Linked DNA regions of Elephas maximus indicus. The protein of the gene in region 2 binds, or shares a complex with, the protein of the main gene of each other region. Links are inferred from orthologs where the notes say so. Each region holds a gene or a part of one and is shown on either strand. Other genes may lie near its edges.

Region 1 (9,823 bases), on a different chromosome or scaffold from region 2:
AATTTTTGGAGGCACATGCCACACTCTGTACCTTCTCTCAGCCACCTCTTCCTTCCCCTTTTTCTCTTTTACTCTCTTATTCTCCTCCACTTCCATGTTCTATGCATTCATTTTGACAATGACACCTAAAGGCTTTAGTTAACCCCACTGGTGGAACTCAGAACAAAAAAACAAAAAAATAGGCTGTTAATCCTGTTTAAAAAATCATTTCAAAATGTGGAAATACATAACTTATTTATGTGCCAAGAAAGTATTTACATTTACATTATCTAAAAATTTAGTTATCAATTCTTACACATCCTCAATTAAGTAAAAAAAAAATACCCACCTTTAATGTGAAAAATATGGTCATGCCCTAAAAATCAGCAAACCTTTTAACAAATAACACTAACAGCTACCGCTCATCAGCACTGTGCTAGACATTTACTTACATTATCTCATTTAATACTAAAATCTTTATGAAGTGGGTATTATTTTCCCTATATTATAAATGAGTAAGCTGAGACTGGACCAAGTAACTTGACCAAGGCCTCCACAGCTAAAGACAGAGCTGAAATTTGAACTCACATTCTTAACCAAAGTTAAGAATCCTAAGGGCACCAAATTGTGAGTTGGAAGGCTTGATCATAGATCCTAACTATGACAAATTATAGAATTATGAATCTTGGGGTAGAAAGAGTCCCCTAATAATTAATGGTTAAGCAGTTTTTACATAATGTCTTTAACTTTTCCCAGATTCTGGCTGAAAAGCACGAGGACAAGATAGCACCTAAGTAAGCACAATCTTATTTAGGGATATTCGTCATTACGTGCAAAAAATTAAAATAATAATACAGAATTTGTACTTTCTGATGTGAAGCATCAACAAGTGAATTTTAGGGTTACAAGTAATTACAGTTCTCAGACAATATAAAAAATGGCATCAAAATTTATGTTTTATTATGAAGATAAAATGAAATCTTATCAAAGTTATTTTTTAAATTTTAAAAAGAAATTAGCTTGGAATCTGACAAATTCATAAAGGATCACTCACCATTTATTAGCTCAAAAGAGTCTCCCCCAAAGCTTTGTGACTCTATAGTATTCATTTACTTAATAAATTTTTATCTCAAATACCTACTACATGAAATAAACTCTAGTAGGCATTCATGATAATCGAGAACATGATAAAACACAAAGAGATTCTCAATAAGGCCCTTACATCTTGATATTGCTGTCTTCCTTGAATGATGTCATGCCTACATTATAAGCATATACTTGGCTAAATTTCAGTGAACAAGAAATATGACAAAAATCTAAAGGTTCACGTAGGGGCAGTATGTAACATGTGAAACTAACATGGGCTTTGGAGTCAGACAGACTTTAAGTTTGCATCCCAAACTAGCTATGGAAATTGAGCACCTTAATTTCTCTAAGTTTGTTGTTGTTGTGTGCCATGGAGTCAGTTCCAACACAGAAACCCTATAGGACAGAGCAGAACTGCCCCATAGGGCTTCCAGGGAGCAGCTGGTGGATTCGAACTGCCGACCTTTTGGTTAGCTGCCTGAGCTCTTAACCACTTTGCCACCAGGGCTCCCCAAGTCTATTTATTCATCAACAAATGGAAATATTTTTTTATCTTATAGAGGTCTTGATATAATAAAGTTTCTAGCATAGCAGACAGCATGAGGAAGCACTCAACAAATGCTGATTCTCTTTCACACCAAAAAAATACCAAACCCACTGCCATCGAGTAGATTGCCACTCATAGCAACCCTATAGAACACTGAAAAGTTATTTTAGAGTTAGAAAACCCATTAGGCTTCATCCATTCTGATTCTCTATTTCTACTCTGAGGTAGCAGCAGCAGAGTGATCTGTCCAAGATTACACAAATAGTGTGCGGGCTGGGCCAAGACTCACTGTCCAGTGCTCTTTTCCACTATATAACCTGACTTTAATATTTAGGAAACAAAATCTACAAATGACATAATTCAGATCACTACATATGTATACTAAGAAAATTTTAAAAATTAAGCTGAACATTAAATTAGGCTTAATTTAATGCTCAACTTAATTACTTAATACAATGCTAAAACTCTTTAATAATAAATTCATGCTTCAATAAACAGTCAAAGACTTTATCTAAGGTGTTTCAAAAAGTTTGTCAAGTAAAAACCAGAACGTTAAACAGATTTTATCTCAAAATAATCAAGGTAAAAATCAGTGCTCTTTACATTAGAATATGATAGCTCTAACAAGGTATTTTACCGAGTTAAGTAAAATTATGTTCAGACACCTCTGAAAAGGAAACCATGCTTTAAAACGCCCTTCTTAGCTCCCAAATGTGCCCTGGTGGAGCACTTGGGCTGTATATTTTATATGGTATTCTAAATATACATTGAAGTTACCAGTGAAATTATCTTACTGGTAAAAGAGGTACCAACAGAGTGGAGGGGTAGGTTTAAGGGGATATTTCCCTTTTAAAGAGTCTCCTTTGCATGAACCGTATGGATTATGTATGAAATCACTACAGAGTGAGAGAATAGTGTTTTACCTTTTAATCTCGTATTAGTCCAAATGTTCTAACTAAAGGGCAGAACCACACAGGAGCATTATTTCCCAGTTTTTAACTTTAGTCTTTGAAGAATGTCCTTAGAACAAAAAGAGACTCATTCAAAGTTTTTACAAATTCCACCAGAGTTCAAAAATGGTTTTCTTGAGGTGTCATGCAATTTTTATGAACCACTGAAAACTATGATAAATGAAAAGGGTGGGTGATAGTTTTACTTTGATCTGAAGCGCTACTATTTTTAAGAGTTGATGGTCCGGCCAGTCCAGTGACTACCCCTGGAGCCTTTAAGCTGGCTCTGCTTTGCCAATCTGGACACCGAATAGCCTATGATCATCTCCTTAGTCCAACAGTACTAACAAGAGAGTACCTGAAGCCTTGGAATGAAGGCAAAGCAAAGAATCAACCAGCCTTGTGATCAAATGGAAATAAACTAAATGACCCGGGTCCACCATCCTCACATACACCAAAACCCCTTCCCCTACACACACATCTCCCACCAACCCCTGCTTCCTCCACATTCCTGTATCAAACACACTTCCCCGCTACAACTTCCCTTCCTACGGCCACCCACGGGTGACCTTCGCAGACCATCCTTGCCCCAACCCCAACTTCTCACCCACACTCCCTTCACCACGGAAGACTCACCGCTAGTCTTCCTACTCTACATCTTCCCACACACTCGCCCTCCCCACTTCCTCGCCCTCGCTTCCCTCCCAGCTCTCCCAGAGCTTTCCCCAACCTCCCCTCGCTCTACTCCACGCCCCCAAACACCTTCACCCCGCCACAGAAGGCTCCCCGCCTCCAGTTCCGAGGCCCGGCCCAGGCGTGTGGGGCAGGCACCTCCTCTACCGCCCCTCAAGCCTGCCCCGAGCCGGATGGATGGGAGCCTCCGGGAGAGGGGTCTGAAGAGGACGACGCCGGACCAGCGGTCCCTCTACTGCTCCCCACCCCAGGAGAGCTGGGGTGCGGAGTCGCCCCTTGGGTCCCTCAGGGAGTAGGGGTCCAGGCCGGAGTCCCCCAGCCCCGCTTCCTCCCGATCGTTGGAGCGGAGGGGAAGGAGGTTCCCCGGGACTCACCTCGAGCCTGTTGTCAACATTAGCCCCGGGTTTCCCAGCACCAACTCCAGCGCTCGGGCTCTCCCCTCCCCTCCCCCCACCTATCTCGCACCCGAGGACCCGCCTTCCCTCAGCTCCCCCTCCTCCCTCCGCCCGACGGCCCTCCCGCCCGCCACTCACCAGCGCGGCCGAGCTGCGGGTGGGGGCGGGGCGGAGGGAGGCCGAAAGGAAGAGGCTGTCTGAGCGATTGCCAGATTGCAAAACAGTCCGAATCCCCCATCCCTCGGCATGCCAATGCCCTCAGGTTGGCTCTGCGGTGGCTGTTCCAGAGCAACGGCTCATGTAAGTGTGAGCCACTTAACGGCTGGTTCAAGGAGGAGCGAATTTTTCAGACAGGCAGCCAATGGGGCAGCCACTACTAACACCTCAGGCCAGGGCCCCGACAGCGGGGAGGAGTGTTCTGAGTACCGGAGGCAGGAAGTGGATTGGTCACTAGGAAAGGGAAAGCGCCCGAACTGGAGGTGCGCAGGCGCAGACACTGGAGGGAGGGGAACGAGAATGGGGTGGGGCGGAGCTAGCAGGAGGTAAGAAGGGGCGGGGGGGGGAATTACGGAGCGCCGTTAAGGACAAGGTTGGCCATGTGACTGTTACAGGAGTTTCTAGATGCGAACGTAAGGAAGAGGTCTAAGAAGGGAAAGTTTGATTGGACTAATTTGAGGGAGGTTGAAAATTTAGGAAATTGGAAAGTGGGGAGGCTATAGAATATGGCTGGAAAGGAAGGTGATTAGGGATGGGTCTAGATTTAAGAATGCCTTAGTAAGACTACAAAAGTTCCGTGGGGGAATTTCCAGAGCAGTTTTAGGTGTTCGGTATAAATATATCCCAGAGTGAAGAGTCAAGACTTTTCCCATACGGCTTAGAAAGTGCCCGGTACTAGCAAGCAAATTTTAAAATTACAATGAAATGTTCTTGAATTACTGCGCAAAATCTCCCTTAAAAAAAAAAATCGGCAGCTCCCATGTTTCCTCCAAATATAAACTCGGGTCGAGTTTTCAAATGGGTATCAGAGTATCCACACACTATTTAGTTCCCCTTAAATTCCTGAAGTTGGTGCCTCAAAACAGTGCTAGAGAGGCTCTGCCAACATGATCATGAGCCAAAGGAACATGGTCATGAGCCAAAGGAACAAAGGTGTAAAGCTGGTCTTGTTCATTGCTTGACCTGCAGCGCCCTACCAGGTATCCAAGCCTACGGCATTAGCTGCTATCCACCTCCAACACTGGAGGCAGGTATTTATTGTTGTTAGGTGCCGTTGAGTCAATTCGGACTCACAGCGACCCTATGCACAACAGAACGAAACACTGCCGGGTCCTGAGCCATCCTTAGGATCGTTGTTATGCTTGAGCCCATTGTTGCAGCCACTGGGAGTGTCGTCTTCTTTTCCGCTGACCCTGTACTTTGCCAAGCATGATGATGTCTTTCTCCAGAGACTGATCCCTCCTGACAACATGTCCAAAATATGTAAGACGCAGTCTCACCATCCTTGATTCTAAGGAGCATTCTGGTTGTACTTCCAAGACAGATTTGTTTGTTCTTTTGGCGTGGTATATTCAATATTCTTCACCAACACCACAATTCAAAGGCATCAACAAGCAGGTCTGGGTTCCCTTTAATTAGCTTTTGCTTATTTGCTTCTATTTACTGTTTTGTCTTCCCGTTGTTAGCACACAAATTCCCTTACCAAACTGAATAATTGGTGCCTCTCTCTCTCTCGTATTAAAAAAAAAAAAAAAAAATTTTTCCAAAACACCAAATAGGTCAATCATTTAAAAGGTAGTAGTTGTGTGCTGCGACCATTCAAACTCATAACCCAACTCAACCCATTGCCCTGGAGTTGATTTCCAACTCATAGCGACACTATAGGACAGTATAGGGTTTCCAAGGAGCCGCTAAAAACCCAGCCACTAGTGGATGCAAATTGCTGACCTTTTAGTTAGTAGCCAAGCTGTTTAACCACTGCACCACAAGGGCTCCTCCCAGGGTCCTTAAACAGTAGTAAAGAGACAAATAATTGCTCTCAAAGTACTATGCTTGCCATAAATAGCCACCCACATTTCTCTTCCAAGTTTCCTTTTTCTTAATTTGCCTGAATACTTTAAGAAGACTTGCCTCTGCTGTTGATACATAAATCCTTCTCGCCCCATTCAAATCACATCAGCCTTTGCATTTCATCAGGTTGTTAAAAGGAAATCATGTGAATACAGGTGTTAAGCAATTCCCAAGCCTGTACAATGGTCCAAGACTTTTGTGCATCTTATCATTAAATATACCCCTGCAAACCAACCTCATTAATCTCAAAAATCCCCCTCCTTGTTTCCCAAGGACCTTGCTCACTTTAAGGTAACAAATGGTAGGTGTTTAACCTAAAAGGTTTTTTTCCCCAAGACCTGAATCTCTAAGATTTTGTGTATTTCATGCAACATGTTCTTTTGCACCACTGTATATCCTTCAAAGAACCAACTGTGCATTGTAAATTGGATATAAGCAAAAAACTGCTTTGCAATAGCCACAGCAGTTTTAGAACTCACTGCCTATTTGCAGACATCTCTCTTTCTCTCTAATAGTTGATCTCTTCAATTGTCAAAATCTCACCGTTTTTAACACAGAGATCGGAAGAGAGGAAAGCAAACAAAAAACCAAAGCCATTGCCTCAAGTCGATTCTGACTCATTGCGATCCTATAGAACACAGTAGAGCTGCCCCCATACGGTTTCCAAGCCACAGCTGGTGGGTTCAAACTGCCAGCCTTTTGGTTAGCAGCTGTAGCTCTTTGTCACTACACCACCAGGGCTCCAGAAGAAAGGAGGAGGGCATTTTTATTGAGCATTTGCTGTTTTTGTTGTTGTTGTTAGGTGCCATGGAGTTGGTTCCGACTCAGCGACCCTGTGCACAACAGAACGAAACACCGCCTGGTCATGCACCATCCTTAAATTATTATGCTTGAACTCATTGTTGGAGACACTGTGTCAATCCATCTTATTGAGGGTCTTCCTCTTTTCTGCTAACCCTGTACTTTGCCAAGCATGATGTCCTCCAGGGACTGATCCCTCCTGACAGCATGTCCAAAGTATATAAGATGCAGTCTCGCCATCCTTGCTTCTTAGGAGCGTTCTGGTTGTACTTCTTCCAAGACAGATTTGTTCATTCTTTTGGCAGTCCATGGTATATTCAATATTCTTCACCAATACCATAATTCAAAAGGCGTCAATTTTTAAAATAGCATTTGCTAGTTTAATTAATAATCATGAAAATCTTGTAGGTATTATGATCTCCATTTTGTAGATAAGGAAACTGAGTCAGAAAAGTTACCCAAAGTCACTAGTAGCCATAGTATCTAGTATTCAACTCAAATCTAATTCCAAAAGCCAAGCTCTTTTCACTATATCCTGCTACACTTATGTAAGCTTTTACATAGACTGAAAATGCTGCTGATCATTTTTATCAAGCTTGCCACCAAAAGCCTTCTGATGTGGGGACATCACTGACATCGCTAACTGAAGAGACATGCCACTCTAAAGAGGTCATCATTTTTGCATTCTAATAATTCAAACCACTATTTTCTGAAAATATATTGTACTAAGCATTTAACTGGTTATGTAGATACTTCATTATTTGAGAAAATTCTCAAAAATATCCAGTATCCTCCTTTTTGCTTGCTCCAATTGACAGAACTGACATAACTACCATATGGATTTAAAAAACAAAACAAAAACAACAACAACAAAAAAAACTTGCTATTTATATTGCTGTTTATATAAACTTACACTATTTTCTACTTAAAACCTAGCCACAATGTTGCTGCTTCACAGAAGAAATCAAAGTCAGAGGACAGAGATTACAATTACAGGGCAAAGCAAAGCCTGACTTAAAAAAAACAGGCATCAGGTGAGGCTTACCAGCTCTAACTACAGCCTATACCCACTGACCTCAGGCCAATATAATACAATGATGTGGACTGCCTGCAGATGTGTGCCAGACCTTGAACAAATTCAACTTCTGCCTTTTAGGAGCTGAAGTTTAGTTTAAAAGCCCTTTCATGACTGAATTATTTTTTATACATGTCCCCTTCAGACAGCAGGATGTATTATAAATTGGGCACTAGCATCCCAAGAACCATAGAGGCAAAGAATTTAAGTGGGACTTGGATTTCCTAGCAATCAGACATGAGCACATACTATAAGTGGGGCACTAGCAGCCCAAGAAACCTGAGAAGTCAAAAATTTTAACTGCCACCCCAAGTTTCCTGTCTAATCTTTCGAATTGCTGTTGTCAATTTCATTCCATATAGATAGATTTTAAAAGAGCACAATACTCAAGGCAAACATTCTTTACTAGTTAAGCTAAACTATTGCTTGGTTTTCAGAAAACTTCAGGGGATATTTTTAGTTTGAGGTTTAAGGTTTAAAGATGATCTCAGGGCAATAGTTTTAGGGGTTCAGCCAACCTCTCTGACTCCATAAAGTCTGGATCCCATGATAATTGGAAATTCTGTTCTACATTTTCCCCCTTTTGATCAGGATTCTATAGAATTTTTTTTATCAAACTGGTCAGTAATGGCAGCTAGGCACCATTCAGTTTTTCTGGTCTCATGGCAAAGAAGGCAGTTGTTCATGTAAACAATTAGCAACCCATTCCGTTTACTCCTATTCCTGATGTGTTTTTTAAGTGAGATATATAGTGTTTTTATACTCAGAGGGCAAGGAGATATTAATGATAGCAGGGAAAGACAAAAAAGATAGCCGTAGGAGAAAATCCTCGTGGTGGTAGGAAGGACAGAATCTAGAAGTACAAGTGGAAAACTACAAAAAAGAAAAGTATGTGGAAAAATATACCATGCTCATGGTTAGGAACATTCAACATTGTGAAAGTGTCAATACTACCTGTCTTTGGCTGGGTTCTCTAGAGAAGCAAAAGTAGTAAATCATATAAATATATAGGTAGAGAGAGATTTATATCAAGGAAATGGCTCATGTGTTTGTAGAGGCTGGAACGTTCCAAGTCTGTGGATCAGTATACAGGCTTTTCCTGATTCACGTAGCTGCAGGGGCTAGCAAACCCAAGACCAGCAGGTCGGAGAGCAGGGCTCTTGCTCACAGGCTGTGAAGATCAGCACATCTGAAGATAGGCAGGGAAGACTGCAGGTAAATGGCTACCTCAAGTCCCAAGACCGGAGGTCAGATGAACAGGAGCCAGCTGCAGGATCCAGAATGAACAGAAGCCCCTGAGCCTTGCCAGACGTCTGCTTATATTCAGATGCAGGCCACATTCCCAAGGAAACTCCCTTTCAGCTAATTGGCTACTTGGAGCAGATCCCATCATAGGAGTGATCACGTATCAGGTCTCAGCAGGGAAGTGATCACAAGCACTGAGAATTGTGGCCCAGCTAAGTTGACACACAATCTCAACTATCACACTACCCAAAGTGATCTCTAGATGCAATGTAATCCCAATCCAAATTTCAAAAGCATTCTTTAGCGGATGGAGAAACTAATCACCAACTTTATTTGGAAAAGGAAGAGGCCTCAGATAAGTAAAGCGTTACTGAAGAAGAAGAACAAAGAGGGAGGCCTCACACTACCTGATCTTAGAACCTACTATACAGCCACTCAAAACAGCCTGGTACTGGTACAACAACAGACACATAAACCAATGGAACAGAATTGAGAACCTGGATGTAAATCCATCCGTCTGTGGAAAGCTGATATTTGACAAACAGCCAAAGTCCGTTAAGTGGGGAAAAGACAAGCTCTTCAACAAATGGTGCTGGCATAACTGGATGTCCATCTGTAAAAAAATGAAACAGGACCCATAACTTACACCATACACAAAAAGTAACTCCAAATGGATCAAAGGCCTAAATATTAAACCTAAAACAATAAAGATCATGGAAGGAAAGAGGCCCTAATACATCACGTAAACACAATGTAAACCATAACTAAGAATGCACAAGCACCAGAAGATAAACTTGATAAATGGACGCTCCTAAAAATTAAACATGCTCATCAAAAGACTTCACCAAAAGAGTAAAAAGAGAACCTACAGATGGAAAAAAAAAAAAAATTGGCTATTACATATCTGATAAGGGGTCTAATCTCAAAATCTGCAAAATACTTCAACACCTCAACGACAAAAAGACAAATAATCCAATTAAAAAAT
Region 2 (10,087 bases):
TAACCACTGTGCCACCAGGGCTTCTTCAAAAAGAGTGAAGGTACATGTAAATAATATCAAGACAAAAAAAAGAGAGAGAGAGACATAACTACAGATTCAATAGAAATTTAAAGCCACATAGAGGACTTTGGGAACATGCTAGAATGAACATGTTCCATCTCCACACCACTCTGAAATTTCACTAAGATGATAATAGAGAATTAGAAAAGATCAGGACCCACAAGGACACAACGCTTGTTTAGCTGAACAGAAGAAATGTGAAACCTAAGTACACGCTCAGGAGGAAGCCAATGAGCAAGACAATTTGCCCCGCAGAAGCCTAGGAAAGTTCAGAAACTGAACACATCAGCAGAAACATTTTACATTATCTGCAATAACTATAATGTAGTAGGAAATGGTCTCGCATTTCTATCAGCTATAATCACAAGTATTGCTGTTGCCTACATTCATAATTGAAGGAAATGCTGAATTTCAGTTAGCGGTTACTGAAAATACAGATGTAATTTTTTTTCCATTCAAGTTGACAAGTATGCACAGCCTATGACCCAGCAATTCCACTCTTAGATATATACTTAACAGAAATGAATACATGAAGAATCGTGTAGAAGAATGTACATAAAAACCAAACCTGTTGCTGTGAAGTCGATTCTGACTCATAGTGGCCCTATAGGACACAGGAGAACTGCCCCATAGGCTTCCAAGGAGCACCTGGTGGATTTCAAACTGCTGACCTTTTGTTTAGCAGCCGTACCTCTTAACCACTATGCCATCAGGGTTTCCCAGAATGTATGTAGCAGCATTAATTGTAACGGCCAAAAATTGGAAACAACCTAACTGATCAAAAACTGTAGAATAACATCAAGTAAACAGAACAATCCAACATAGAAGAAAGGCAAAGAGAAGACCCAGGAGAACATCTGTGTACCCATTGCCGTCGAGTCAATTCCGACTCATAGCAACCCTATAGGACAGAGTAGAACTGCTCCCTAGGGTTTCCAAGGAGCAGCTGGTGGATTCGAACTGCTGACCTTTTTGGTTAGCTGCCATAGCATGCCATAGCTCTTGTAGCAGACCTAAACATCAACCAATCCTTACAGGAGGATGAAAGTAGAGGACATGAGGAGAAATGTCTCCAAAAATAAATAAAACTAATACACTGCCTCACATTTGACCATATGAAGGCAGGTTTTATATCTCTGGAGGAGTTTGGAGGAAAAATAGTACTGGTACAAGGAAATCAATCAATCAAACTAAATAACCAAGGTATTTATTAAAAACCTGTTGTTGTCAAGTCAATTCTGACTCAAGGTGACCCCATGTGTATCAGAGTAGAACTGTGCTCCATAGGGTTTTCAATGGCTGTGATCTTTTGGAAGTAGATTGCCAGGCCTTTCTTCCAAGGCACCTCCAGGTGGATTTGAACTGCCAACTTTTTGGTTAGTAGCCTAGCACTTTTCCATTTGCGCCACCAGGGGACTCCAGGAAAAACAAAATGTCGTACAAAAAAGGAAGTATAATAATCATATGTTACATGTCTCAGCTATGAACATTTACATAGTCATAATAATGTTAACACTGAATTATGATTTAATGAAAAATATAATTAAATAATAAGGATGGGGTAAGGAAAAGTATACAGAAGTACAAGACTTTGCATTGTGAATAAATCGTATTAGCACTACTTTTATTTACTCGTGTCTTGACAGTCTACCATGACTTCAGTGATTAATAACAGGTACAACTTGTGAGCTAGCATTACTTTCTACAATCGTTTATGACTTCATGGAATTTTCCAAAACACGTTTTAGAATCTATTGGAGTTAATGCAATGCATAACACAGGCTAGGTAAAGCAGACTCAAGTAAAACATTATGACAAGAGTGCTCATATCCTTATATTGAATGTCAGGGAAGCACAATAAAGAGGACCCCCATAGTTTATAATAAGAACAAAGCACAGTCAAATTTAATCTTACTTGGAAACATGCCTTCAAGATGATTATTCAGGTAATAAGGTTTCTTGTTTAGCTCACTGAGTCATAAATATTCTATATTTCCAGCTTTTTTTATTAGTACAGAGAAAAGCAATTTATAGCAAAGCTCACCAATGAGCAGAGTATTTTTAGGTCCAAAACACTGTTTTCTCTCTGTTCAAGACTCCCTGTCCATTTCTCTCTTTTAATTGAGACTGGAGAATAGACAAAATTATTTTACATTTCTCCCCTCAGTCACTTTCTGACTATATGTGTGCATTGGGGGTGAGATGGTGGTCGTAAGAGAGGTAAACCCTCATTTTCAATAAAAAGTCAGTAGGTCATCCCCTCCTTTGTTTATGCGTGAAACTGAGAGCAGTACAAGGGCAAGGGGGAGGGGAAGGATTTGGGGGATTAATTAGGCAAACAACCTTTTGTTTTGAGTTTAAGATTTAATGGGAAAAATTCAAATAGTTTTTAAAATTGTAGAAAAATGACTAATTTAACATTATTCTTCTTATCATCATCAAGATAAAGCTTTTATATTTGAATACGCTGTTCTTGGCTGGTGAATCTAAATGATTCCATTTTTAAACTCACCATTATTCATCATTATATGATCATCCAAACAATGCTTTAAAGCATCTGAAACAACCAAAAGGCAAAGGATCTTTAACATCTATAAAGAGGAAACATGAACTATGAGATCTTTTAACACTGGAAACTTTTTTTTTTTATCTTTGGGATTACTACTCAGAATTAGAAAATTGTTCATTGTGAACCATTCTTCCCTTCAGCCCTTAATCCATACCGCTGAGAAGTTTACCATGCTTAAAGGAGAAACATATTTCTGAACTTAACTTTTTTTTTTAATTTTAGGCTAAAAAACAAAAAACAAACCTGTTGCTGTGGAGTCAATTCCACTCACAGTGACCCTGTAAGACAGAGTAGAACTGCCCCATAGGGTTTCCAGGAGCCCCTGGTGGATTTGAACTGTCGACCTTCTGGTTAGTAGTCGAGCTCTTAACCACTGCGCCACCAGGGCTCCTATTTTTGCTTAAGAGGGGCTTATATGTTCTTCTTTGGTATTCCCCCCGCCCTTTGGGGGCTTGTTTTATAGCCTCAGTCTCCTCAAACCTGAAGTTCCATTATCTCTCTCTCTAATTGTCTTTTCTTCTACAGCCACGCAATGTGTTACTATACTTTTAAGAGTATCTTTATATTTTTGTAATATAACATAAACCTCAAAACCAAACCCATTGTCATTGCGCTGATTCTGATTCAGGGCAACCCCATGTGTTGTACATTATAACTGCTCCATAGGGTTTTCTTGGCTGTAACTTTTTCAGAAGCAGATTGCCAGGCCTTTCTTCCATGGTGCCACTGGGTTTCAACAGCCAACCTTTGGGTTAGTAGTCGAGATGGTGCAAACGATTAAGCACTTGATTACTAACCAAAAGGTCGGCCATTTAAATCTACCCAGAGGCATCTCAGAAGAAAGGCCTGGCGATTTGCTTCTGAAAGGTCACAGGTTTGAAAACCCTGTGAAGTACAGTTCTACCCTGCATACATGGGATTGCCATGAGTTGGAACTGACACAATAGCAACTGGTTTTTAATATAACATAAACAGCATTTCATTAACATTACTATTACATCTGAGAATTTACCAGTATATTTAAGATAACTGGATTTTTTTCTAGTTTTGTGTGTGTTAAACTACTAGACTTAGAGATGTCATCTGGGCTCATTAATCAGCATATTATTTGCCAGCCACGTAATTCTGGGTTTGAGCCACCAACATATCTGTCTTAATTTATGTTGCAAAATACGGAAATGCAAAATTGGGGAAACAACAGTACCCACATAGGTCTGGTGTGAGGGCCAAATGAATTAACACTAATGCCCAGCATAGGGTAACATGATTGTTTCTGTTATTGTGAAAGTCTGTAAGCCTCCTTTTCTCTAAATATCATCTCACTCTCAGCATGTAAAAGGGAGCCCTGGTGGCGCAGTGGTTAAAGTACTCAGCTGCTAACTGAAAGATCAGCAGCTCGAACCCACCAGCAACTCTGTGGAAGAAAGATGTGGTAGTTTGCTTCCATTAAGATTACAGTCTTGGAAACCCTATGGGGCAGTTCTACTCTGTCCTATAGGGTTGCTATGAGTCAGAATTGACTTGTCTGCAAAGGGTTTGATTTGGTTTTGGTCTCAGTACATAGGAACTTTGTAAATTCACACTAGAGAAATAGGATTCATTTGTAATTTTTGTTTGACTTTTATATCCTGTAAAATCACCCCCCTCGGAAAGTTACACATTTCCCAGATTTTAAGTTTATTTGATTTACTTACAAATTTACATAAGCGTGATGTTCTCACTCAGAATTTAATGCAATCCCTCCAAGGCTCAGTAACCCATTTCAGACTAGAAACTTTTTTTTTAATTGAGAAATTCACCTTTATCTCCCATGAAACTGAATCCCTTAACTCATATTTTCTATTAATCTTCTCTCCTGCTTTATGTCATCACTAGACATGGAAAACAGCTGGTTAACACTATTTGTTATAATCCTTAACTGATGGAAAAGTATTTGAAATAATCATACTATGTAAGTTTCCTTTTTATACTGGAGTCCAAAGCTCTCAAACATATCTTTAACTTGACTAATATATAAAAGAAAATATTATGCTTTCCTTCACAGATAACATTAGAGTCAGTAGGCACTTGTGCGAAACAAATTTTTTGGCTTTTTTTTTTTTTTTTTTTACAAATTATCCAACTCCCTTCCTAATTGTCTGTTTAGGATCTGGGTCATTTCAGCACTGATCTGGGTCAAGAATTATTTTTTAAAAGAATAATGAACACAACATTTAAATGAAAATAACTTTTGTACTGAAATTAGATGTTAGTTTTATTGTTCCCATTAAGCTAAGTGGAGTTGAATGCCAGACAGTCCCACATGCTACCTACAAGGAGTTTTATTTGTGAGATGAATGAGTACAAAAGGGACAATAGAACTTGTCGAAAGCAGCCTGCTCTAGGAAGGCCAGGGATGAATTTTTAGAGTAAGGCTTGTATGTATGTGTGCGTAGACATCTTTCTTCTGCTTTTCTGGGGTGTGGTCCCAAACACGATATTGCCCATCTTGGGAAGAAGGACCTTAGAGAGTCCAGTGAAATAAGGAGGAATTCGGGGGTTTCTTTTGAGTCCTTCCTTCCTCTCCTTCTCTTTTCTTTCTTCCCAGTTTGGGACTACTATGAATAATATATAATTGGCTTTTTTTTAAGTGGAGAGGAGGGTGACTCCAACTAAATCATGTTGGGTTTTATTTTTTTTTTCCTTCCTGCAGGGCAGCAATACAACGATAGAATACTTTAAAAAAAAAAAAAAAGGCGATGACAACAAATCTCAGTTTAGTCATATCACGTCATTTAAATATCAGCATCTTCTGCGTGTTTATTATGTGAATCAGCTATGAATCCTAGCCAATATAAAGAAAAAAATTCTAAAACTTCTGGAAGTACACTTTAGAATAGTAGAAAATACAAATCTTTCCCCTAATGAGGTAAAACTCGGAGAACACTGAGTTTATCTGAGAAAAACAAAATGAAGTACAGCCTACAGAACCTATATTTTGGTCTGAAAAACACTGAGCTTTCAAGATTAGAGCATTCAATTTACTCACAAATAGGGACCCTGAGAAATCTATGGCTACCAGCACTCCCGGCCAGAAGTAGGTAGCTACTTTGTATGCCGGGATTTGTAGTCCCCGAAGAGTAGTTCTATTCAAAATGGCGGGATAGCTAATGGTGTGCGAAAGAGCAGGCCCCGACAGAGTCTGGGCCGCGACCGGATTAAGAGTGCCGGGATTCAGCAAGCGGGAAGTAACGACCAGGTGTTAAAACCTTTCTACTGAGGGAAACCGGACGCTCTGAAGTCTCGCGAGATCCTGGCGCGGCCCAATCGAAAGCGAGGCCGGGCTTGTAACTAGGATCCTCTGTTGGGGGGCGGAGCTCTGAGGGAGCTGGGCGGGTTTCGTCGGTGTCTCACATAGCGGCGTATAGGCCCTGCAGCCGCTGTGAGAAACGTAGCCGTGGCCATGAAGGAGGAAAAGGAGCATAGGCCCAAGGAGAAACGAGTAACCCTGTTAACGCCCCCGGGGGCCACAGGCAGCGGCGGTGGGGCTTCGGGGGAAAGCGGGAAGGGGGAAGATAAACAGGATCGGAACAAGGAGAAGAAAGAGGCGCTGAGCAAGGTGCCGGCCGGCCGTCGGCCCGCGAGAGGGTGGGACGGGTCCGCCGCCCACAGCGCATGGTTGGGACTGGGGCTGCCCCCTTCAAGTCCCAGTCTCCCCTCCTGTCTCTTCGGCTGAATGAAAATCGCACCACCCTACCTCACCCATTCGCCTGAAATGAGGGAATCCCCTCCCGGTCAAGCCCTGGGGTGGAAGTGAGGGAAGGGGGGCTCCCCAGATGAGAAGGGTTTAGGTCAGAGCTGTAAGATGATTATCGGCGATGGGACGACAGTGAAGAGAATGGAAAATTAAAAGGGTTATTGGGGAGAATTATTAAATCGTGAGGCGGACCTCAGAGGCGGGAGTAGTTTGTGATAGGATTAATGGAGGCGAGTTGGGGGAGCGCTTAGGGGAGATTAGTGGTCTTTGTAGGGGGGATCGGGAGCATCCTATTTTGGGAGTAATAGGTGCGTTTTTTATACTCTTAACGTTAAAACCAAAAATGTTAGAGTTTTGAATTCTTTAAACTGAATGAGAAAGGATTTTGTTTTAGGATGTGTTGGATGTGGAGGGAGATATCAATAAATCAAGAGTTTGTGGCACCCACAAAAGACCAGGGTTGGCCTACTGACTTCTTAACACTATATTTGTTGAAAAATGGGTGATAAAAAATGCTGTGCAAACCTAATAAATTGCAGGGCCGCTGGTTAAGAGCAGAACCGGAGGTTGTCCTTAATCCAGGCGGTTGTTGTAAGAGTTTTTAAAAACCGCGTTACTAATAGGTTTGACTCTTTCTGATCATTAGGCTGTCGAAGAATATTTTCTCCTGGGTTTTTACAAGTAAAATCATCTTTTAAAACCCAGCTTTCTTCAGGAACTGTGATTCGTTCAGGTATGACAGAGAGTTGATGTGTAGTAATTTGATTTTCCTTATTCATTTCTTAAGGTGGTAGTTCGAAGATTACCTCCCACTTTGACCAAGGAGCAGCTTCTGGAACATCTTCAGCCTATGCCCGAGCATGATTATTTTGAGTTTTTTTCTAATGATACCAGGTAAAGGAAAAGGGGGAGGGGAGTAAAAGAGAAAGATTTCTTCTGTTCTTTGCCTCCTACTAATATTTTCCATTTGATTTTTGATCCTCTTCATTTTAATGTATGTGTACTTGTAATTCAGCCAGACCCCCGCAAGCACATTTACATAATTGCTTTCCTCTCTGCAGTCTGTATCCTCATATGTATGCCAGAGCATACATCAACTTTAAAAACCAAGAGGACATTATTTTGTTCAGGGATCGCTTTGATGGTTATGTATTCCTTGACAATAAAGGTGAGTCCTTATAACTGAACTAGAAGGGGAGTTTCTTCGTCACTTATATGTATAAGACAATGTGTGCATCACAGTCAGTGCTTTCATAGCTTTTCTGAAATCCTGGGTGATAAAATGTGTAACATTTAGAGAGTTTTTACACAGGCGATGAGCTTAGTGCAGTCTTATAAATAGATATGTAACTTGTCACTATAGGGTCTCTATAAATCCAAATTGACTTGATGGCAGTGGGTTTGGTTTTTGGTAGTTTAACTTGTCACTTGCCCTCTAGTATTTATTAACCTGTTCTTTCTGTGGTTTGATCAACTGGATGAAATCACCACCGTTTTCTCATGTGACAAATTTTGCACCCTGGATTAGATGATAATGTTTTAATTATTTACTAGTTTCAGCAGCAATATTGATAAATAACTGTTTAAACTTGTAAGGCAAGTTTTACATGTTTACTTCTCATCTTGCTTCAAGGACCAACATTTGTTTAGTTATTTAATTCAAATACTTTAAGCCAACAGTTCCCAGTGGAATACTGGTTGACATTCTCACTCAGTTGTGTGTAATTAAAACAACAAACTCGATGATCTCCCCCTTTTCATCCAGGAGGGTCCAGTCTATAGGGAAGAACAGTTTCTGCCGTAACTCTCTTTTTATTAATTACCTGCTACTTGTGCAAGATTTAGTCAGAGGATACCCTAGCTGCCATTTGCCACTTTGGGCTATGCAATCACAGGTGAATGGTGTGTCATTTTCTTTTGTTTTTTCAGTATTCCTTCAAAGTTGGTAAAAATTAAATCTTTGCCGGGAAATATACTGGTTAAAATTGAAGGATTGCCACTGTGTATTGGCTACCTTCTATTAATCCTCCTCCAACACCAGTTACTTCTCCACTCCAATTTTTATTCCAGTAGATTGCAATGATTTCCTAATTGCTTAGCATGGAAGTCTGAGTTGCATTTAACCTTTTTCTCCTTTTTTACTCCCTACACTTAAACAAGTAGTGAATCTTGTCAGTTTATTTTTAAATGTCTTGTTTATCTAGACTTACTAACACTTTTACAGTTTATATCCTTATCACCTAATGCTTGGACAACCACTGGCTCTAAACTTATAGGATTTTCCATTTTTGTGTAATTCATTCTGTTATATTGCCATGAAATTAATCTTTAAAAATACTGATTTTAAGATAATTGTGATTTAAAGAAAAAAGTCTAAACTCCTTAGCCCAGTATTTAGGTCCTCCATAGTCTGGTCCTACTTCTGTTTTCTCAGCCTGTATTTCTCACTGCTTCAGCCTGGTTTATCTATTCCTTCTCCTCAAGTATATCACTTTTATTAAGCTAATCTGATTCAACATTCATTAGCATTTCCAAAACCGTGTTTTTTCCATGACTATAATGCCTCCTGGCCATTTCTAGTTGTATGATTCTGGCTCATGTCTACATGCCAACGAGCTAAAGATGGTATTTTATGTCTTGCGTGACGTTTTTCTATGGCGGGATCTGCTGTATTTTTTTTTAATAACAGCTTTATTGAGATATAATTCACATACCATAAAATTCACCCTTTTAAAGTATACAGTTCAGTGGCTTTTAGAATATACATACAGTTGTATAGCCATCACTACACCCTAATTTTAGAACATGTTCACCACCCCAAAAAGAAACTCCATACCCATTAGCTGTCAGTCCTCATTCTCACCACCACCACTGCCCCCAGCTGTAGGCAACCACTAATCTACTTTCTATCTCTATAAATTTGCCTATTCTGGACATTTCTGATGTATTTTTAAATTAGTTTATTTCACAAATCAAAATGTCACATTTTAGGAATTGAGTAAATAAAAATCTTCTTTATTTGCTATATCTTTTCATTATGTTATCAGTGTGAATTTTGGGTTCCTTTGATAGCATGTTGAGTATAGTTGTGCCAGTGTTGTTTATGCCCTTTGGGAAACCCTCTTCAGATTACTGCCATCAGAGGAGGCCTGTAGAGCAGCGGGTTGACTCCTTCGTACTCACTTTTGACATTTTCTTTGTTATAGCAAGTTTTTTTTTTTTTCTAAACAGGTCAAGAATATCCTGCTATAGTAGAATTTGCACCTTTTCAAAAAGCTGCAAAAAAGAAAACTAAGAAAAGAGATACCAAAGTTGGGACTATCGATGATGGTACAGTATTGCTATAGTTATGTAATGTTATTGCTATGGGTTTATTTTTTTTTATATTACCTCTGTGAAGGTTAATTAGATACCAGTATTTTAAATAAGAAAACATATGGAATAAAGTTAATGAGAAAAGGCTTTGCTTAATTGTTAGAATGGAGGTGGATTTCCTACATAGAGTTTCTACTCTATGGTTAGCGGCATTTCATTCCTCCACCATTAAGCAATATAGGATTAAATATTGTGTAGTAAAACACCTTTAAGTCTACTGATTAGACAATGGAAAAAAATCAGATGTTTCAAAGTATAACAGCTGCTTATTGAGACCTCTTACTATTTTTATCATTATTTATTTCGCTTTCAGTTTCTCTTATCTTTTATAAATAGGTTTATCATTG
Region 3 (9,755 bases), on a different chromosome or scaffold from region 2:
TGGAAGCTGGAGGAGTTGATTTATGAATAAGAACATTGGATATATATTGCTCATCAGGCTAGCTTCTTAGTCCCTGTAAGACTAAGGAGACTGAGCCTAGAAAGTCAAAGTTTAATCAGTAATGCAAATGCTTTGTGTGTGTTTGTTTAATAAACAGCAAACATGGAAACCAAGCAAGAAAGCTTTATCTCGAAAGGTTTTTCATAAGGGCTAGAGAAGGATGTAGTCTGAGAAAGAAGGGTTGTATCTTCTAATTTTGAGTCATCCATTTATGTGTTATGAAACTTATTTCATTAAACTAATATTTATTGAGTGACTATAGACTTTTCTGGCATACAGCTGCCTTAATCTCTACAATAGAGATGATAAAAGTAAATTAATAGAAGTTAATGCCACTGGAAGAATTCCAGAGACACTCTCCACTGTCAGAAAAGAGACTCTGCATGTGTAAAATGGATATATTACTTACCTCACAGGGTTGTTGTGAGGATAGAGAGTATTTATACAGCATCTGGCACATACGTGCTCAATAAATATAATTTTTCTTTCTTTGTCCCTTCCTGTTCCCGAACTTTTCATATATTTTTCATTTAAAATCTATTGGGTCTGAAAACCTCAGTCTGTCAGCTACATTGCAAGCCAGGACATTCCTGAAGATAATGGGATGGTACAAATACCACATGAACAAAATGATGATGTCATCCTTTTTATGTGAGCTTCTGGATGGTGATAGTAGTCTTCTACTCCTTCAAAGTATTGAAAATATTGTAGTAATGGCAATTCGGTTGATCTGTGCTTCTAAACAATACTCTGCGTAGCCTGGGAGTGACATCTAAGATGGCTATAGGAAAGATGCCTGGCAGTGGAAAATTTTGTAGAAGTTGGAATCCTGCTGGAGTCATGACGAGTCAGCTAACTGAATAATGACACTTGCAGCTGTGGGGGTACCACAAGGACTTAATGTCACAACGATTTAAAAGGTGGCAAGTGGCAGAAGGAAAAAGGAGGGAGAGTGGCATAGCACACGATAAAGTCCTGCGGAATCTCGTTGTTGGCTCTCAGCAGTTCATTTAAATCAAATTCACAGAGCATTTATTTATTCAAATATTCTTTTAAAAATGTATTAGTAGGGCCCACTGTACTGGACACTGTGATGGGTGTTGGATACAAGAAACAGAGCAGTTTTGATTATAGTTTAGAAGGTTAGAGATACATTATATATTTACTTGTATGGGTATTTGTTAATTAGCAGTTGTGGTAAGTGCTCTGAAAAAAGGGATAAATGAAGGGAGTATGAGATGGGGACCTTCCTGAAGAAGTGGCATGTAAAATGAAACCTTAGGGATGAGTAAGGAAGCCAGATAAAGAAAGGAGAACTGGGAGAAAGACTATATGTGTTAAAAACCTTTGGGCAAGAAAAAGCACAGTTGTTTGAGGAACTGCAAAGAGGTAAGTGTGAGTTCATGGGCAGGCGGCACAAGATACAATGGGGCACTGCTCTTTCATACTGTCCGTTCATATTTATTTTGGTAATAGGGAAAGAAGCAGACACCTATTATTTTAAAGTTTTATCCCTAGTTTTATAGGTCTGGGAAACTGGATACAGCAATTGCTTACTCTAAGAAAATGGTCTTTTCCTTAGGTGGCCAGGCTTTTTCCAAAAGGAAGATTTTATTTCTGGAATTCTAATTCTGGCGTCTTTGACCAGGCAGCCAAATTAGGTATTTCTTTTATTGCTTTGATAACCCCCTCAACTAAAAACAACAAAAATACTTTATTGATAAGAAATTTCCAACATCACCTGGATACAGTGTCACACTGGGAACTTGACAATATCATTTAACTTGGAATCATTTGAACCAGTAGTTTTCAATCAGGCTCAGGCAGAGTACTAGTGATTTTCACGCTGGATTTGGGTATTTTGTTAAAACTGAATTATAATTTTTTTTTAACATTTAAAAGAAAAAGTAAGTTAATGGGTAGAATTTTCTCAATTGTAACCTTGCCGTAATAATTTTTCTTACATTGTTGCTTTATCATAACTCATTTTAACAAATAAACAAGTAGCAAAGATAATGGTAAATTGGGAAGATAGCCTATTATGCTTAATTTAACAGGCCGTTTTTGTTTTGGACATAAGAGTTAGTGGTTATGTATGCGTTAGAAACATATAATATTGTCATATACTGGGAAAGAATTCTTAATTTGAAAAATGGAATTAAATATATTATCCTGTCATGAAAAAGGACCTAGAAATAGCTCCAAGTACTCACCATGTATGAACTTACCTGAAAAACAATGGTGTGGAAATTTTGGAAGTTCTCTTATTAAAAAATTAATACCACTGAGTGGTTAAAAAAATATTCTGGTTAAAATTCCACAAGGAAGTCTATTGTAGAAAAGAGAAGAGAAAGGTAAGTGATGGAAAAAGACTGAAATAGACCATGCCATTCTGGCATTACAAATAAAATAAAAAGAAACCACCTTAAAATACTGCTTTAGACCATAAAATATTCTTGGCTTATTCCTCTGGTCCTTTAACTGAAGGAGACAATTTTTGTACTTGCTTACAAGCAAGTGCAAAATAAAAACTATTAAAAAATTACAGATAAAGTAAACAAATGAAAATGAAAGGCTATCACTTCTAGTGTTTATTGTAGGAAAGTTAGAAGATGTCTGAAGATTGGAAGTAGGAATGATTTAGCGGTTGAGCGCTTTAACCACTCACTGCGCCACCAGGGCTTCCTCTTGATAATTTTAAATAGAGGCAAAAAAAGGTGTGAAGACAAAGGGGATATGAAAGAGAGGTCAAAGGAAGAGAGAATTTTAGCTGTAGGAAAAATCAGTAGAACATTTTAAATATTAAATTAACTGGTATAAGAACCATCTCTGCCCGTAGCCTCCTGACTTGATTAATCACGATGAAGCTGAAAGCAATAAACTTTTAAAAACTTTCCTGGGGCATCATTATTTTGTCAATGAGTTTTGTGTATTTGCCTGAATCATTGAGCCTCAATTTCAAGTGAAGCTGACAATAAAATGTTTACTTTTTACCTATGTCAGAGGGTACTTTGAAGCTGAGTACACATAGGTTGTATTAGCAAACGAGGTAATGGTAGTCCAAAGAAAAGACTTCATTTGGCTTCATGAAAGCAGCCCAAACATTTATTTACATAAATAAACTGTGGTGATATTAGTAATTGTGCCCTAATTTGAAGCCTATGGCAACTGAGATTAACATTCACAAAATATTTTTACTACTTCCAGCCCAAGTAAGAATGTTTGAAAAGGGTCTTCTATAACTGGATTGTCCAGCATAGTAGCAACTAGCCATGTTTGGCTATGTAAGTATTAACTTAAATTAATAAAATTTAATAATATGTAAAAATAAAAATTCAGCTCCTCAGTCCCTAACCACATTTCAGTGCTTTGTAGCCATATGGAAAATTTCCACATCACTGCTGTATGACATCCTAGAAGATCCCAAAACACAAATACTTTACCATTTTGCAATTCTTATCATGATTCAAGTGACAAGTCTTTTGGCATTAAAATATAAAGAGTTAATTTTAGACCATAAAATATTCTTGGCTTACTCCTCAGGTCCTTTGACTGAATGAGACAATTTTTGTTCTGTAAGCAAGTACAAAATAAAAATTAGTAAAAAATTACAGATAAAATAAACAAATGAAAATGAAAGGCTATCATTTCTAGTATTTATCATAGGAAAGTAGAAGATGATTCTGAAGATTGGAAGTAGGAATGATTTCATTTTTCACCAAAAAACAAACCAAATGGATCACAGTCTGTATTTTCAGAGATACTAAGGAATATTTTGAGGGTATTGATGGTGCAGTGATAGAATTCTCCTCTTCCATGTGGGAGACCTGGGTTTGGTAACTGGCTAACGCACCTCCTGTGCAGCCGCCACCTGTTTTTCAGTAGAGGCTTGAAGTGTTGTTATGATGCTGAACAGGTTTCAGTGAAAATTCCAGACTAAGATGGACTGGGAAGAAAGGCCTGGTGATCTACTTCTGAAAAGCAGCCAATGAAAACTCTGTGGATCACAGAGGTCGGATCTGCACCTGATTATGGAACGGCTCAGGAACGGGCAGTGTGTTTCGTTCCTTTGTGCGTGGTGATGCCAACGTGATGGCAGCTGACAACCAACATGGTGGCCTATAAAAAAAAAAATAGTAAGGAGTAATTTGTCTATATTAACAGTTATGTAATAACGCTTTATTTGTAAGGCTGAATATAACCTGGCCCAGTCTGCGTTTCTAGTCGTTTCACTTCCATGAATCTTACATTCTAGCTATGTGCTGGTTTTCCCAAAACATGTATTTTCACACCACTGACTTTGCTGAGCACATTCTGTGCCTGGAATGCTCTTCCATCCCTCTGAACATTTGCCACGGTCCAATTCAAATAGCACCTTTTTTTTTTACAAGCCTTCCTTGATATGCCCATTTCTTCAATTTCCCCTACTCTTCACTAGAATGACTTGCTTCCTCTCCTGTACTGCCAGCATTTTTTACATATTCTTCATTACAGCATTTGCTGTCTTGTGCTAGTATTTGTCTATATGCTTGTTTTCTTTTCTAGACTATAAATGCAAAAGGCTCTTTTTATTTCCTGTGTCCACCATTTCTGGCACATGGGGCATGCTTTATATATTTCAAAGCTTATTTTACATACGTTATTTGATTCTCTTAACAATTCCGTGAGCTTCACAGTCGATTGTGGTATATCCACTTGGTTAATGAACAAACAGGCTTAGAGACACTGACTTGACAAGGTTAAATAGTGGCAGTATTTGGGTAACTCTTAGGTTTTCTGAGCGCTACTCTTTCTACTAAACCCTGCTGAGGGTTATGGGATCATTTAACACACAGAATTACTCTGCTGGTAACAGAAGAGTGATCAATAATATTTGAAAAACAGACTGTGTAAAAGCTCGCTCTGTCTTTCCTCATCCTTCTCTTTGTTCACTTCCCCAATTCAATTTATCTGATGAGAAACGTGGGCTAAATCATTACTTGATCTTAAGTCAAATTGCCAAAACTCTGTAGGACACTAGAGGTTAACCCTTAAATATGGAATGAAGCACATTATAAGTTTTTGATATTAAAAAATAACTCTTCTATACGGTCAAGGAGTTTTAGTTTCAATGTGCCTTTCAAAACTTCAGACCTCTTCCTCTGATGGATTCCTTCCATTTTGTGTTTATTATTATAGTCTTCTAGCTGTCTGATACCAGCAATCGTTGTTTAAAGAAAGCCCCGTGCTTGAAATCAGGCAGGAGAAATGGACGTATTCCAGGTCTCCCACTCGGATTCTGGGCTTTAGCTTTACTCACTTCACAAATTAAAATGGCAAAAAAGCCATGCCCACTTCACAGGCCTGTCACTGAGATCTACCAGTTTCCCTGGAGGTTATCCTGACTCACGAGACCCCATGAGGATAGAACTGGGCCCCGTACAGTTTTCGATGGCTGATTTTTAAAGAAGTAGATCTCCAAGCCTTTCTTCTGAGGCGCCTCTGGGTGAACTGGAGCCTCCAACTTCTGGCGGTAACGCTTGCATGCACCACCCATGGATTGCACGGTGAGAATTTAATACACAAAAATTAAAACCGACTTGTAAATCTCAGTTCTAAGCCCACACAAAAATGCCGTTATGTTTTTTTACACTTTGTCCTCTGCTAATATAATGGAATCACTTAATTTTTATTTTAACGTGCTTCCAAACGTCAGGAGGCGACGTTCACGTCACTCCTAACCTCCCTCCGTGCTTTCCTCGGGGATCAGAAGCGCTGGCGGAAGAATCGTGGCTGCCGCAGTGACGCGCTTATTCTGGGCCGCTTGACGTCACTGTCAGGCGCCGGGAGGCCCGTTTCCAGGACTTCGGAGGGCTTACCAGGCGCGAAAATGGCTATGGCTAGCGATTTTTACCTGCGCTACTACGTAGGGCACAAGGGCAAGTTTGGGCACGAGTTCCTGGAGTTCGAGTTTCGACCAGACGGTGAGCCGAGGAGGGGCAGCTGGCGGGGTGCTGGGCTAAGGGAGGCGAGGCGGAGATGCAGCGGAGAATAAGGGAGGTGGGGTGGAGCAAGAGAGCCTCGGTGGGCCTGGAGTGTACGTTGCGAACACAGGCTACTGCTTGAGCCGAAACAAATGGGAGCTTAGAACCTAAGGTAATCAGCATCCTGAAATCAGTGCGCCGGAAGGCATCTTAAGGCCAGCTGCTTTAAAGACCTAATACTTGAACATTTGTAACACCCCACCAAGCAGTGGACCGGTGGATGCTTAAGATCTTAACTGGTGATCGATAACTTCCGGACTACCCATTCATTGATTGAGCAGTGTGTGTAAGGCAGCAGGTCTAGAAAGAGAATGAGACCAGTTCTGAAGGGTTTAGGCCGATGTGGGAACAAATAAGTGTGGTGATGTGTTTTGGGTGCTTAAATAGAGTTGTTTACCACCGGGTGCATTAGGAGTACAAAAGGGGGAGTGGTTAATTCTACATGAGGCAGTCAAGGAAAACTTCCTAGAGGAGGTGACCCTTGAACTGAATCTTGAAATAGGCTTAGGTATTTCATGTTCTCTGAGGAAAAAAGGTAGTCAGACTGGGAGAACAGAATGAACAGAGGGCAAGGTGAAGCTGCCTGTTGCCATGTAATGTGTAGCAAATTGTGTCTTTTGACAGCTCTGACTATAGAGAGAGCATTATTGTATATTGAACTCTATCCACCTGCAACAAGGACGGTTCAACTGAATAGATTTTCTTTTGGAGTGCATATTATGTGCTGGGAAAATGATAAATAGAAAACTAAGGATTCAGTAAAGAGTAAGAGTCTTTAATTTCCCTCAAAGAGTTATGCTTGAGTGGGAAACAGACGTGAAATTAACCATAAAGCAGTGTGGATATGCTTTGGACAAAGTTCTTTGAGAATATGAAAGAAAAATTAGAGAGAGGATCACATACTAGGAAAGGGGAAGAGTATCAGGCATTTCAGGTGGAAATCAAGGTATCTACAGCCCTGCTGTTATTTAGAAACCTAAATCACCTCATTTACCCTGTCATCTGCATGTCTTTTCTAAATTTGGTTAAGGAGTTAAATATACCTGAATTCTTCATCTGAGCTTTTCTTATGTGATGCTATTTTCATTCCCCTCACCTGTGAACATCATCCAGCTTGTCCATACGCCTTTTTAGCCAGTCAAATAAATTAAGTACCCTGACGTATCAGGGAAATTTTATGCCGGAACAGTGGTTCTCATCCCTTTATCTTCCACCACACTGTACCACATACTTCCATCAATAGTAGTGGGTCACAGACAATTTCTAAGGGGTACACATCACTAACCCCCCCTAAAAACACACACACACACACACGCACACAAACCCGTTGCACTAGGGCACCCTATTATTTTAGAGGGTCAGGACCACATTACGTCTGTACCTGGACAACTGACTGGCTGTGAGGAGAACGATTTATCAGAGAGTACAAAAGTCATGATGGTTTAAAATTAAATATAAATCAGCTAACAAACTGGTAATCTTTTATCCAGAGCCAGAACAGAATTTGTATGCTTGCTTGTCACAGTACTAAAACATTACTATTGCTGTAATCATGTACATTAATTTGAAGGGAAATAATTAAAAGAAAATGTTTTGGAGTAGTGGAAAAAGCATGAGTACTGGAAGACAGTAGGTCTAGATATGAACCTTGTATGATCCTGGGCAGGTTACTTAACTGCTTTCTTACTAATGAATAAAAAAAAAAAAAAAAAATGAATAGGGATAATAAAATCTACTACTTAGGGTTGTTTTTACCATTAGAATAGATGCTTTAGGTAAAACACTTAGCACCAATACAGATATATAACATAAACTTAAAAAGATATATTAGTTCCTTTTTCAGATTTCTTTTCCAGTTCATGACATAGCTTAAGAAAATGGGCCTTAAAAATGACCTTCATATTATATAGTGTAGGCATGGAATATTAAAAAATTTGACTAGCTTCACCTTCTACCAACTTAACAACAAATATTTATTGAGTGTCTCTATGTCTAACATTGATCTTATACACCAGTTAGCAGTTGCCTTCAAGTCTGTTCTTATTCATGGTGATGGCGCTGGGCTGTCAACCGAAAGACTGGTGGTTTGGGTTCAGCAGTAGTGCCTCGGAAGAAAGGCCCAGCGATCTACTTCCCAAATATCAGCCATTGAAAACCTAGTGGAGGACAGTTCTACTCTGACACAAATGGGGTTGCCATGATCTTACACTAGGAGGGAGGAAATGCTAATGTGATATAAAAATTGCTTACAGTATCATTTATTTTTTAGCAGTTTTTACTGTTATGGATTGAATTTTTTTCCACTTTCCATAGGAAAGCTTAGATATGCCAACAACAGCAATTACAAAAATGATGTTATGATCAGAAAAGAGGTAAGTTTTTTGTGTGTGTTTTTTTACATTTAGTCCATTTTCCTCATGTTTGTTGAATTAACAAAAGTACATCTGAGGCTGTTTGTAAAGAAGAAGCCAATTTATAGATTGAAAAATGATTCAATTAAATTAGATATAATTGTAGCATCTCTAACAACAAAAGAAGCTACCTGGATATATTAAGTTATAGTCCCACATTTGAACATATCATCCAATTTATTTTATAATTAATTTTGTTTTTTATTTGCTACCTAAAGCCAATTAATGAACATGATTTAAAAATAGTATACATTTTAAATTAAAGACTCAAAATGAGGTGTGAAAAAGTTCAAAGCAGTAACTGGTATGTGTTTGGTATTTATCTCTCTTTACCTCATAGACTTTGTACTGTCACCATTTATACTCTGAGATATATAAGTCCCCATGTTTCAAAGATGGAATATAGTGTATTAAAACCGGCTAGTGATTGGAGCCATGGTGGTGCAGTGGTTAAGAGCTCAGCTACTACCCAAAAGGTCGGCAGTTCATATCCACCAACTGCTCCTTGGAGACTCTATGGGCAGTTCTACTCTGTCCTATAGAATGGCTATGAGTCGGAATCTGCTGGACAGCAATGAGTTTGGTTTGTTTTTGGTTTAGTGATGAGAAGAAGGAAAAATATGTACTAGAAGAAAGGGTAAAGAGTGAAAAAAAATAACATATGGAGAACGAATGATTCCCATCCTGTAAGTTTGAAATCAGAATTAAAATTTTCTATAATATTATATTTGAATATTCAGGGTTTGTAACTCCTTTTAATCATTTCTTTCTGAGTAGTAGGAAGAAATAGTCAAGCATGAAATTTTTATTATAACTTATTTTCAGGCTTATGTACACAAGAGTGTAATGGAAGAACTGAAGAGAATTATTGACGACAGTGAAATTACCAAAGAAGATGATGCTTTATGGCCTCCCCCTGACAGGGTTGGCCGACAGGTTAGTGTTTAATAATTCTTTAAATGTATAAATATTAAAAATTGGCAATGTAATTGTTATGTTTCACCTTATTTATTTAGAATGAGTCTTCCCTGGGTCTTGATTTTACATTTAGTAGGCACCTGATAATTATTTTAGAATTTTATTTCATTTAGATTCATTTTCCATGCTACATCATAGTAGAAAGGAGTCAATGTATAGCTGTAAATTTAGAGATCTTTCTGGATAATCTTCATCATAGCTACCTAGCTAAAATTAGGATATTTTCACAATTATGAATAGTTTCTATTGTATGTTAACTGCTTTTATTAGGAGTAAGTACAAG

Evidence for each region.
Region 1: the proteins of UPF3B (region 2) and UPF2 are in contact, whole or in part, in a crystal structure (PDB 7NWU), measured with the Homo sapiens proteins. The link is inferred for Elephas maximus indicus from reciprocal best matches to the Homo sapiens genes UPF3B and UPF2. Residues at the interface, in NP_542199.1 of Homo sapiens: Lys52, Arg56, Arg57, Tyr79, Glu81, Phe83, Asn85, Asp86, Thr87, Ser88, Leu89, Tyr90, His92, Tyr94, Arg96, Tyr98, Ile130, Glu132, Pro135, Phe136, Lys138, Ala139, Ala140, Arg147, Asp148, Lys150, Val151, Gly152, Thr153, Ile154; in NP_056357.1 of Homo sapiens: Lys767, Arg768, Pro769, Pro770, Leu771, Glu773, Tyr774, Lys777, Lys790, Arg793, Gln794, Arg796, Lys797, Leu798, Pro799, Trp800, Gln801, Cys811, Ile814, Asn815, Trp817, Tyr837, Gln838, Glu839, Asp840, Ile843, His844, Val846, Asp847, Gly848.
Region 3: UPF3B (region 2) and MAGOHB share a complex: the UniProt entries of both Homo sapiens proteins name them as parts of the mRNA splicing-dependent exon junction complex. The link is inferred for Elephas maximus indicus from reciprocal best matches to the Homo sapiens genes UPF3B and MAGOHB.

What each region holds. Positions count from the first base shown.
Region 1 is NC_064822.1:45,339,802-45,349,624, reverse strand, and holds the start of UPF2 (regulator of nonsense transcripts 2), read right to left. Parts: upstream 3,705-9,823; 5' UTR 3,630-3,704; intron 1-3,629. UniProt on the Homo sapiens protein: Involved in nonsense-mediated decay (NMD) of mRNAs containing premature stop codons by associating with the nuclear exon junction complex (EJC).
Region 2 is NC_064846.1:37,042,921-37,053,007, forward strand, and holds the start of UPF3B (regulator of nonsense transcripts 3B), read left to right. Parts: upstream 1-6,000; 5' UTR 6,001-6,071; coding exon 6,072-6,227; intron 6,228-7,152; coding exon 7,153-7,259; intron 7,260-7,426; coding exon 7,427-7,533; intron 7,534-9,596; coding exon 9,597-9,695; intron 9,696-10,087. UniProt on the Homo sapiens protein: Involved in nonsense-mediated decay (NMD) of mRNAs containing premature stop codons by associating with the nuclear exon junction complex (EJC) and serving as link between the EJC core and NMD machinery.
Region 3 is NC_064822.1:69,354,413-69,364,167, reverse strand, and holds the start of MAGOHB (protein mago nashi homolog 2), read left to right. Parts: upstream 1-5,863; 5' UTR 5,864-5,929; coding exon 5,930-6,023; intron 6,024-8,396; coding exon 8,397-8,455; intron 8,456-9,319; coding exon 9,320-9,430; intron 9,431-9,755. UniProt on the Homo sapiens protein: Required for pre-mRNA splicing as component of the spliceosome. Plays a redundant role with MAGOH in the exon junction complex and in the nonsense-mediated decay (NMD) pathway.